Mus musculus: one gene and its partners. The protein of the gene in region 2 purifies or fractionates together with the protein of the main gene of each other region. This does not show direct contact. Links are inferred from orthologs where the notes say so. Each region holds a gene or a part of one and is shown on either strand. Other genes may lie near its edges.

Region 1 (3,750 bases), on a different chromosome or scaffold from region 2:
GAAAACAGAATTTGAGAACCAAAATTTCAGTACTAACCTAATAGACTGTTAGAAAGCACCTATATCTATTTTTTTCAAATTTAAAATTTATTATATTGCTTTATGTGTATGAATGTTTTACCAGCACATATGTATGTGCACCATATGCATGCCTGATGCCCTTGGAGGTCAGGAGAGGGCATCAGATCCCCTGGGACTGAAGTTATAGTTTTGAGCTACCACATGGTGCTAGGAACCAAACCCGGGTCCTCTGCTGAAACAGCAAGTGCTCTTACTTGCTGAGCCATCTCTCCAGCCCACATAGCTAAAAAATGTCAAATCTGAATTTAAAACCTAGTTGTCTATTTTCCTAAGTATGTTTCAATTTCACATTCACTGTAACAATTACATAAAAATCGCAAGAACAACACAAAAAACTCTCTCTCCCTTTTTCTCTCTGTTTCTCCTTCCTTCCTTCTTTCTTTCCTTCCTTCCTTCCGAAGGGTCTCACTATGTAGCTTTGGCTGGCCTAGAACTCACTATGTAGACTAGACTGGCCTCTAAATCACAGAAACCCAGGTGTTGAGGTTAAAGCCATGGGTCGCTGCACCCAACCAAAAGAATCATTTTGATGGTAACAACCTTGAGCCTGATAGTAAACAACAGCCAGTCACACATAAACTTCACTGAAGAACAAATTCTATGTTTCAAGATGGCCAAGCATGGCTGGTAGAACTGTTTTGTTTGTTTTTATTCAATGAACAACAATTTGGTTGTTTTGTTGTTTGTTTAGACAAGGTCTCACTAAGTAGCCCCAGCTGGCCTAGAACTCTTTATGTAAATCAGGCGGGCCTCCAACTCACAAAGATTGAACCATCTCTGCCTCCTGAATGTTGGGACCGAGGTGTGAGCCACCATTGCCAAACTAGTTAATAAATCTTAACTATACCTTCCCTGATGGGAAGACATCAACTGCTCTATATTTTATCAAAACAACACCCAAAAAGAAAAGGTACATTTTACTGAGTCAGGCTTAGCTAATTGTATCAACTGAGTAGTTGGCCCTATATCACAAATAATCAACACATGTCAATATTTTCACATAAAAAGCCCAAATAGGGAAAATACTCAATTTGGGGGAAAGCTCTTCAAAAGTTTTAGGTAGATGATTAACACAACCTTAAATGTCATATTTAGTTTTCCAGGCTTGGCAACAGGGTAGCTATGTAAAAATCAGAGAGCTGGAAATAATCAGATTATCTTATAAAGTAAAAGCAGTACAGACAGAATGTAAACTTTTAAAGCATAGAAAATACAGTCTGGAAACACACATATTGATAATAAGAGTCCAAAACTTCACAGCCTAGACATATTTCACTGTTAAGAAAATATGAGAAAAAAAATGGAACATAGAAAGGGAAAAAATGGTAGACACTGAGTAGAAAGAAATTCCACATAATAAAGGAAATGCCTTTTTGTATCCCTTCGACAATTATGCCCTGAACTGATTTGAAGGCCTTCTATGTTGCTAGTTTTAGTTTTGGGTTTTTTTTTTTCTCTTATATTTGGGGACCTTTCAAATTGGCAAGATGAGATATGAAATTCAGTGACTTGCTAGGACATAATAACAAGGCAATCCCCCAAATATATGAAAACAATATATTACTGATCTTGTGGATGGAGAGAACTTTCAAACTGGAGAACAGGGTGACTGCTGGGCCAGCAGGCCGTTATGTAACACCTATTTCATGTTACTCTATCAACTACTTTAGAATCGCTGACTACTTTTTCCTTTTTAAAGACAAGCACTATCCAGGCCGGCTTCCTTTCTCAAGACCTCTTTTTTTTTTTTTTTTTTTTTTCCTCAAGAGACAAATCCTAAATTCCAGATTTCCTGTGCAGGGAATAGAAAATAGAGGGGAAATAGTGTCAGCATCCTGAAGCTCTGCCTTCTAGTAAGCAGTGGTCCAGAGCGACAGGACATCTCCGAGCTCCTCAGAAACTACACACTCAGACACTGAGAACCAGGGGTGGGAGCAATGCCATCTTGCATCTGACGTCGCCCGAGCACCAATTAGAAACGTAATCATTGATTATCTCAGAGTATCCTCAAACTACACTAATAGGTAGATAAGGGTTATGCCTGACTTGTTCTGCATCCATGGGACACACGACCCGGTTAAAGGACAAGCGCGCCCTTTATATTTCCAACAAGAATTCCAAAAGCAAGGGCAAACTTCTCTCCATTCTCAGGGGAAAGCACTCTAGGGGGATGTCATCACCTACAGAACTCCAAACTTAAGCCCTCCTTGTAGTTTCGCCAACTCAATGACCCCAAGAGTGTAGGTCCCTGGGCTGTGGAGAGGACACCCGCATCGGGCCTGAAAGCCCGCAACTCCCTCACTATGTGCGCTGACAGCACCTGAAGTGGAAGGAACAAGGATGCTCAGGGGACAACATCGGGGTAACGACCCCACCTGCCCTGTCCCGCAGCTCGCCTCACCTGCGGAGCCGATTTCCATTCATGGAGCTGGGGGGAGTGCTTCACGAGAGAAGGGTGCCACCACAGAGGCGAGGAGCGGACGCCCTCGGAAAGCTCCGGGCACAAGAGGCACAGTCGGGAGAGACAGACAGCCTGCAGCGAGGTAAGAGCGGCGACAGTCCTGAGTGAGGACGCTGGAACCAGGTCCGGAACTTGCGTCGCCCACAGATGCTGACGCGTGCAGCTTCCCGACCCGCCAGCCGCCCCGCCGCCGCAGCCGCTCGCTTTTCCCGGTCGCCCCCGGAAGCCCGCTCGCGTCACTTCCGCTCTCCGGATCCCGCCCCGCTCTCCCTCCGGGTCGGCAGCTCGCCTGGAGCCAGAGCCTTGCGGGAGCAACAAGGTCTGGGGATCTGTGGGCGGGTGAGCCGGTGCCTGGCTGGGGCGGAGCCGCGGATGGGCGGTCGCCCTGCACCCGCTGTGCCTGACGGCGACAATCCCGAGCGAGAGGCCAGCTTTCCCCGTGCCAGCCTCCCGGGTGAGGACCGCTGCTTGAGGCGACATCGCTGCCTGCCCGCGGAGCTTACCTGAGGTACATCCTACCTGAGAGTGGCGGGTGACCAGCCAAGGGCATCCTCCCTCCCAGCTCCGTCTGCCACACCCGCTTGGAGCACGTGCACTAGGCGGTGACCACAAGTTCAATATAGTTTTTAAACGGATGAACAAGAAACGGGATGTTCCATGTATACCAGATGGAATTACGTTTATGTTTAAACAGTCTCCCAATACGTTGAGGAACCTAAACGACCTTCCGGTGTTTAAACACCTGCTAAACCTTCTCTTCCTTGGGACTCGAGACTTTTACAGCTAAATTGGTCAGCCTCCAGTTTCCCCGATCCGATCCAGTCTGGTGCTTTTCTGCTGACTTGGAACCTTTGGGAGACTAGACCCAGCTCATTATCCGGCAAATAGTCCGTCTTTTAAAAATACTTGGCTTCGTGAAACCAGATACTTCATGCAAGCTTAGCAATGATTCAGTATTTTTCCCCGTGTCCCAATGAACCAGTAATGTTTTGACATATATTTCTTTTTTAAAAAAGAGAATTGAGAAAGATTTTATTTTCACGATCCCTTCCCTCCCCGTTTTGGGTTTTTGGATTAGTCACTTTATCTTTGGACTTTAGTTTCCTCATCAGAAAAACTGAAAGGAAAACAAAAAACAAAAACCTCCCAAATGTTAGTAACAAAAATATTTACAATAGTTACAATTTTGAGGTACTTAATAAATATGC
Region 2 (3,650 bases):
TAAAGTCTTTATAGTAGTACACTGCAACCTTCCCATACAGCGGCGGCGAGCTGTCGTCAGGTTGGCAAGAGGAAATAGTTCCAAGCTAGCACTGCCCAAGCTAGTCTGTGCTGAACTGAATTCTTCCAGACACAGCCTGGAGATCACAGGTCACTGCAGAGTCACTCCAGCAAATGGCTAAGGCTACACTGTAACATGAGAGGGAAGGAATCTGAGAGGGCTCTGATTTTATTTCTAAGTGGAAACATAACAGAAGTTTATGCCTCTGGAATGGGGAGGGGAGGTAAGAGAAATCACACTGCACCAAAACCAACACTATTTCTGAAGTCACAGACGGCCTGCCAACACATGAAATATCTACTACATGGCAAACGTACAGCAGAAAGAAAACAACAAAAAACAACATTCTTCAGTCAACACAAACAAAAAGCTCCATGCTGAGAGCTTACCATTTCATCCTTTTCCCACTTCTCTGAGTTACTTTTGTCTTGGTTTACCACATAACCAGGAGGAAGCCAATTCACAGGAGGATCGAATATCGACACCACCATGCGGCTGGGCAGTCCCTTCTTCTTGCCAAGGCGATACAGGTTACAGTTGCTGACCTTCGGCAGAAAAGAGTCACAAACACTTACCCATACATGGCCATGGCTGGGAGATACAGTGTGCCAATACATTTTTGCCAGTGTTTTTGTATTGCACGATGGTCAGCAGTTATAAGGACTACACAGTTAAAATAACAACTCTAGATTTCCAAGTACTAGACAGCCTTCCACGTCAAATATTTGATCCAAAATGGAATCCACAAAAACCTAATGTATATAAACTCCTCTCCTCATAAATAAGTCAAAGAAAGAGTTCAATTTCAAAGTTTTAAATCACAGACTGACAATATGAAATTCAAGATGACAAGTGAGGCTGGGAGCAGTTGTCAAGACCATGGAACTCAAGATGTCATGATATTCTCAGTGAGAAAAGGGATGAATATGTTGTAAGGTGAGAACCATCACCATACAAAACAATTGTTATCTCTTGAGTCTAAGCATCAATAATGTGACACCAACCCTCTCACTCTCAAATATTGCTCTTTGTGTGGTGGATAGCATTCAGCACTGGAGTAAAAGGTGCTAAAGAACAGCTGCTGCGCAGGACACCACCTAGGTGGCTTTACTATCCTCCTTCCAGTCCTTTTGCCTTTCCTAATGGCTCTACCATGACCCTAATTTACTTAAAACCTGACATTTCTGTCTAGTTCTCACTTGGAGACTAGCAGCTATCACCATTAATCTCATTCCCTGTTTCTAAAACCTTACTGGAATACTTCAGGAGCCCTTTCCATGTAACTCAGATGCTACTTAGCCAGCATCTGGTACCCACAATCAGCACTGGCCACAGTCTGGTAGAAAGCGTGCAAAGAGACAGAGAAACGGTCCTTGCAATGTAGCAGGCTGTGTTTGAAACTACCACGAGTCAACACACCTCTCAGCTGTCTACCATGGAACCAATATACATAAATGTTGGTTTCCTTTTCCATGACATGTGAGAGCATCCCAAGAGGAAGACAGCAATAGGAGGAAAATATTCTAAGTCAAGAGAAAAGCTCAGTGGAACAGAAAGGCTACAACTAAGGACTTGTTGTGAGGCACAATTCCAGCAGCAGTTGGCAATGAGGACAATCCCAGGGAGGGCTAGCTTGAGCAAAGACACAGGGAAGGTTAGCTTGAAGCAAAGACACAGGCTGTCCAGAGAGCATGGAGCTTGTGTTAAGACTGGCAAGCTGGAGTTCAGGCAGGGTCTGTCTGGAAGAAGATGCTGAACCCACCTGATACCAGGCAGAGGAAACAATAAATATTTCTGCAGGAAATGAAGTGAAAAGGGTCTGAACAGACGAATGGATGAAATTTTGAGATGTTAAAGTAGTATCTTTCCTGCTTAATAGGGTCTGGTATTCTTATTTCACATGTCTCCACTGACTGATCTTCGTCTAGTAAGCAGCCCTGACAGCCTCCTCAATGTCTTCCTCCTAACCTTGCTGCCGCCACTACCCACCATGTCCACGATGTCACAGTTGTCGTGGCCTGTCTTAAGAACACTGGGAAGGCAGCCAGCAGGTGAGGCCTCTAGTCTCAGACATACTCCCCTAAATACCTGGGACTAGTGAACGACCTGGGACTAGTGAACAACCCGGTACAAGCTAATCCCACTGTCTGGGCATCAGTTTTTTCATCTGCAAAATGGTTCCTCATTTGCACAAAGGTTTATTTTAAACTGCACTTTTCCCAGTAAGAGAAGGTCAGCCCGAAGCCTGGCTGTACCACTGGTGCCCTCACGTCACTACTGGGCAATGCCTCCATGGGCTTCACTGGCCCTAATGAACTCGAATGAGTAGCAGCTGCACCGACTCACGGAGAATTCCCCATGGGTAACTTGGCCTGTTTTCAGGCACACTGAAGAAGCAACAGCCCAGAACGAGAATCGTGCCTTACCTTTTTGCTTCTCATATATGAAAGGCGGCCTTCATGAGCATCAGGGTACGTGCAAAACAGATATGTGGTGATAGCATGCTTTAAAAAGGAGTCGCCAAGCATCTCAAGCCGCTCCAGGTTAAACCCATCACTGGCATTTGACAGTGTCAAAGCCTGGAGAATCAGTCCCGGATTGGGGCCAAGAGTCCTTGAGGAGTACCCAACAGAAGGGCTCTGCTCAGAGTCCATCCTGTCCTTGAGTGCTTTAACAGCATTCATCATGGCAGGCATCGTGGACACCGCGGGGCTTCCATCTGAGGTAGATGTGTTAGCGTTCCCATCAAGGTACGTATTACTCAGTAGAGGACATTCATTGCTGGGCTTGGGCTGGTTCTCATAATTGTACAAATTCTGAATGGGATATGAGGTAGTTGGTTGTACAGGTATTTCCTGCTTGAAGTAATTCAGCTGATTTCCTTGGCAAAAGTCTCTGTTAACTAAATCATAACTGCCATTGGCAAGGTTTTTATTGTAAGAAAGACCATTAATTGCTGTAAGATCCGTTGAAACCTCACTTTGGAGCTTAGCAGGTGACTCAGCGGGCAACCTTTTGCAGTTCACAGACATTTGGTCATGGTTTTCTAAGGAGGGTCTAGTAGCACCTTGATGTGCAGCATGTTCAGGGACTACAGTTGTGCTGTGCTTACAGTAATTATCACTCTCAGCCAACGAGGAGTTACAGCTTGAGATGAAAGACTTGCTATCAATAGATTTTTTCCACCCGAAGTCTAAGTTAGGGTATCTGCAAAGACATTTTTATAACTTTCTTTCAACCCTCCAAAGGGTAAGCTCAGAAAAGCAACACTTTGAGTTAAAAGCAAACAAAGCAAGCAACTCTAAAAGTCATCCTAAGAAGAAAACGCACTTCCAAGCTTACCTGGCCCTGCCTGGGACTCTGCACACAGTCGGTTCTAATGCAGAACAGCTTACTGCTTTGACTTCTGTTTATGGTGGCAAAGCAGAGCTGACTGAGAGGACCCAACGTGGAGGTCCTGCAGTGGCTACTGGCTTAGTGGGCTCACCTCCTGAACCAAGTGAGCAGCTTCTTGCAACTTACAAACTTTCTCTGTGCCTCAATTTCTGCTCTTGGAGATGAGATCAATACATCCTATGTCAGCATAGAGC
Region 3 (3,650 bases), on a different chromosome or scaffold from region 2:
TGCAACAGTTCTTACCTAAAGAAATCTGAAAGAAATGCTGACCCCAGACTTCATGTTAGCCCACATGATCAGAAATCAGGGCTGGGGTCAGCCATAGCTGGCTGTTGCATTTTTACGACCTCTCCAAGGGAACTCTAAATGTGACCACTTGGAGAGAGTTTGCACATTACTGAACATGTCATAATGGGGAAGAACCACTTATTGAAAGACAGGCAAGGCTGTGTTTTCCATTAGGAAGTCACTTTCAGTAGGCGTTTAAGCAGAATAGACCTGATGCATGGGAAGACCACACATGTAGAACTCTGGGTTATGGTGTCCTGTAATGACACAGAAGCCCAGGAAACAAATGCTCTCATCTACCGATGAGTCACTCACCACAGGTGGTGAAGGAATGTGACTTAGATTGGCGATGGGGGCTGCTGAGCTGGCTCAGGGGGCTAAGGCACTTGCTGCACAAGCCTGGAGACCTGGCCTTGGTCCCTGAAGCCTACAGAAAGATGGGGGGAGAGAACTGACTCCACAAAGTTGCCTTCTGATCCCACACATGCTGTCACACACACACACACACACACACACACACACACACACACACGAACGAATGCTCGCACACCCACACATACACACACACTCGATAATAACTTTTAAAGTGACTATGGTTAAATGATAATATTTAGTCACTCAATTTCAAGGACATATCTTAATAACAATAGGATTACTGAATGAGTAACTGGATCTAAGGCCTTTGTCCCTCAATAAAAGAAAAATTGACGTGAAGCCAACTGGTTTCGAAACTGAACAAGTCCATGTCATTTTCTACATCCACGGCTCTATCCACTTCCAAGTCATTTGCATAACCTAAGGGGACAGCTGCACCCATCAGACAATTACCCTTCCAAGTCCCTTCCCTCTCACTCTGGGCATCCACCAGCCTGTGCTGTGTGCATGGATTAACCTCTACTGACTAGTTCACTGACTTATACTGTAGCCTTTTGTGACTGGCTTCTTTCACTTGGCGCAATATCTTCAAATCTGTTTATGCTGCTGTAGGCATTAGACCATCACTTCTTATGGTAGAGTGACGGCTACTAGTTTTAATTTCCAGGAGTGAAACTGCTCGGTCACACGAGTTGCTGATAACTGAACCATTTTACATCTGACCACCAATCTATGAGGTTCCAAACTGGAATCTAACAGTCTTGTTTTCTATCTTCCATTTTCCTGACTGAAGCCAACCTAGTGAGTTTGATGTTGCCCTTCCCCTCCACTTTAACTTACATTTCCCTTTGAAGTAATGAGGTTGGACACCTTTGTAGGTGTTTTATTTGTGTAGCTCTGCCTGGTGTAACACTCACTCTATAGCTAGGTTGGTCTCAAATTTACAGTGATCCTCCTGCCTCAGTCTCCCAAGTGCCCAGCTCATTTGTCTGGTTTCACTGGCAGCAGCTGCACCACGGGAGCTGGTCAAAAGCCAGTTCTGGATGCTCCAGAACTCTTCAGCTCTTAAGCTGGTATGAAGCATGTCAACAGCACATCAGTGCATATCTAAATCCTCCTCACAGGCTTCCTTCTTAGCCTACACTCTGGCGTTTGTTTGTTTGTTTGTTTGTTTGTTTGTTTGTTTTTCTCCTTAGTCTATGATGGCTCAGTTATCCCCATTTTCCAAACTGAAGACACTGATAAACACTTATGGGATGGTCTCTGTACTGGCTAGTTTTGTGTCAACTTGACACAGCTGGAGTTATCACAGAGAAAGGAGCTTCAGTTGAGGAAATGCCTCCATGAGATCCAACTGTAAGGCATTTTCTCAATTAGTGATCAAGGGGGAAAGGCCCCTTGTGGGTGGGACCATCTCTGGGCTGGTAGTCTTGGGTTCTATAAGAGAGCAGGCTGAGCAAGCCAGGGGAGGCAAGCCAGTAAAGAACATCCCTCCATGGCCCTCAGCTCCTGCTCCCTGACCTGCTTGAGTTCCAGTCCTGACTTCCTTTGGTGATGAACAGCAGCATGGAAGTGTAAGCCGAATAAACCCTTTCTTCCCCAACTTGCTTCTTGGTGATGATGTTTGTGCAGGAATAGAAACCCTGACTAAGACAGTCTCTCATCAGCTATTTCCTGACCACCTGTGTACATTTGCTCTCGGATTCTGCATCACCTGCTGTTTATACAGACTCTGCATTAGATTCATAGATCAATCTTAAAGTTGCCAAGACTGTTGCAGGGTCTTCTAGCCCCGAAGCTCTACTTTCTCAGAGCCTGCAGCTCTGCCAGGCTAGCTCTTCACATCTCACTAAGGTTTGAATAGGGATATCACATTGTTCTGATGCTAAAATCATGACACTAAACATGCATGTACATGCACATGTGCACGCACACACACACACACACACACACACACACACACACTAAACAGGTGTATAAACTGAATTAAATGAACATCCACAGAGGTGGAACATGGTGGTGTTTTGCTCCCATAATCCCACCCAGCCCTTGGGAGGTAAAGGCAAGGTCAGCATGAGATGCATGAGGTCCTGAGAAGAAACATGTCAGGGCACACGAGAAAGCATACCTATATCCAAATACGTTATGTTAAAGCCTTGCTCGCTGGCAATCTCACTAAGCAGCTGGATGTAGTCTGTGTTCGGGAGACTGAGGAGGCTCCTTTTCAGGAGGTTGATCTTCTCACCAGGGGAATTCCTCAAGGAGTGCCAAGTGCATCCTAGGGAATGTCCAACCACGTTCGTCTAAAAGGCAGAGAGGAGGGAAACGTCAGCTCCGAAATGGGCCAGTTCCAACATCAGTACCAGGGTAAGTGAACACAGATGCTCGGGGGATGGAGAGATGGGTCGGGGTGAAAAACACTGGCTGCTTTTCCGGAGGACCCAGCTTTGTTTTTTATTTCCAGTATTATGTATGTCTAGGAGAGACACTGCCAACAGAAATGCTTTTATTTTAATAAATGTTACAACTTGAGCCAGAGAGATGGCTCAGCAGGTTAGGGCTCTTTGATGCCAAATCTAATTCCTGAGTCTGATCCCTGGGACCCATATGGAAAGAGGAGAGAAGTGACACCCTTTGACCTCCATACATATGCACCTTGCCCCCTCCTACATACCTCAGTGCAGCAAATGCTTGCAGGTTGATTTCTGAACTAATTTACATACCCACCGACCAAAGTGCTTGCTTATCACACTCTCACCAACAGCAGCTAGTTACCAAACAGTGTAGCTTCCACCAACTTAAAACAGACAGAATATCTTAGTTGGCATGAATACACTGAATATTTTTCCATTCCTTCATATTTTTCCTACTAGACTTTTCAAAAAATTGATGTATACAGGCTTTACACGTATGAAAGCTGAATTCTTTGCTTGTTTTAGTTATGTTGATTTTATTCATACTTTTTTGGCTGTATCGTAAGTTCTAGTCAAATTCATTTGCTTCAGATTTTAGATGTTAAGTTACAGTTAAAAAAGACTTTCTATCCCTAAGATTCTTTTCAAAAGACCGTTTGTGTTTGCCAAGACAGTTCTATTCATGCTCAATCCTTGATCTGGGATTTACTTAGGCACGAGGTTTGGTATGGGGATATGCCATCTATTTACACAAGGACACACAGACAAATGCACTATCTCCCATCCTCGCCCATGGCTGTC

Evidence for each region.
Region 1: the proteins of Dicer1 (region 2) and Ago3 purify together in Homo sapiens (affinity purification with mass spectrometry; 3 studies listed by BioGRID and IntAct, with this or other methods). This does not show direct contact. The link is inferred for Mus musculus from reciprocal best matches to the Homo sapiens genes DICER1 and AGO3.
Region 3: the proteins of Dicer1 (region 2) and Prkra purify together in Homo sapiens (co-immunoprecipitation; 4 studies listed by BioGRID and IntAct, with this or other methods). This does not show direct contact. The link is inferred for Mus musculus from reciprocal best matches to the Homo sapiens genes DICER1 and PRKRA.

The regions. Positions count from the first base shown.
Region 1 is NC_000070.6:126,426,786-126,430,535, forward strand, and holds the start of Ago3 (protein argonaute-3), read right to left. Parts: upstream 2,758-3,750; 5' UTR 2,502-2,757; coding exon 2,483-2,501; intron 1-2,482.
Region 2 is NC_000078.6:104,699,916-104,703,565, forward strand, and holds part of Dicer1 (endoribonuclease Dicer), read right to left. Parts: intron 3,268-3,650; coding exon 2,487-3,267; intron 606-2,486; coding exon 450-605; intron 1-449. UniProt on the Homo sapiens protein: Double-stranded RNA (dsRNA) endoribonuclease playing a central role in short dsRNA-mediated post-transcriptional gene silencing.
Region 3 is NC_000068.7:76,630,970-76,634,619, forward strand, and holds part of Prkra (interferon-inducible double-stranded RNA-dependent protein kinase activator A), read right to left. Parts: intron 2,739-3,650; coding exon 2,564-2,738; intron 488-2,563; coding exon of another isoform or gene 438-487; exon of another isoform or gene 1-437. UniProt on the Homo sapiens protein: Activates EIF2AK2/PKR in the absence of double-stranded RNA (dsRNA), leading to phosphorylation of EIF2S1/EFI2-alpha and inhibition of translation and induction of apoptosis.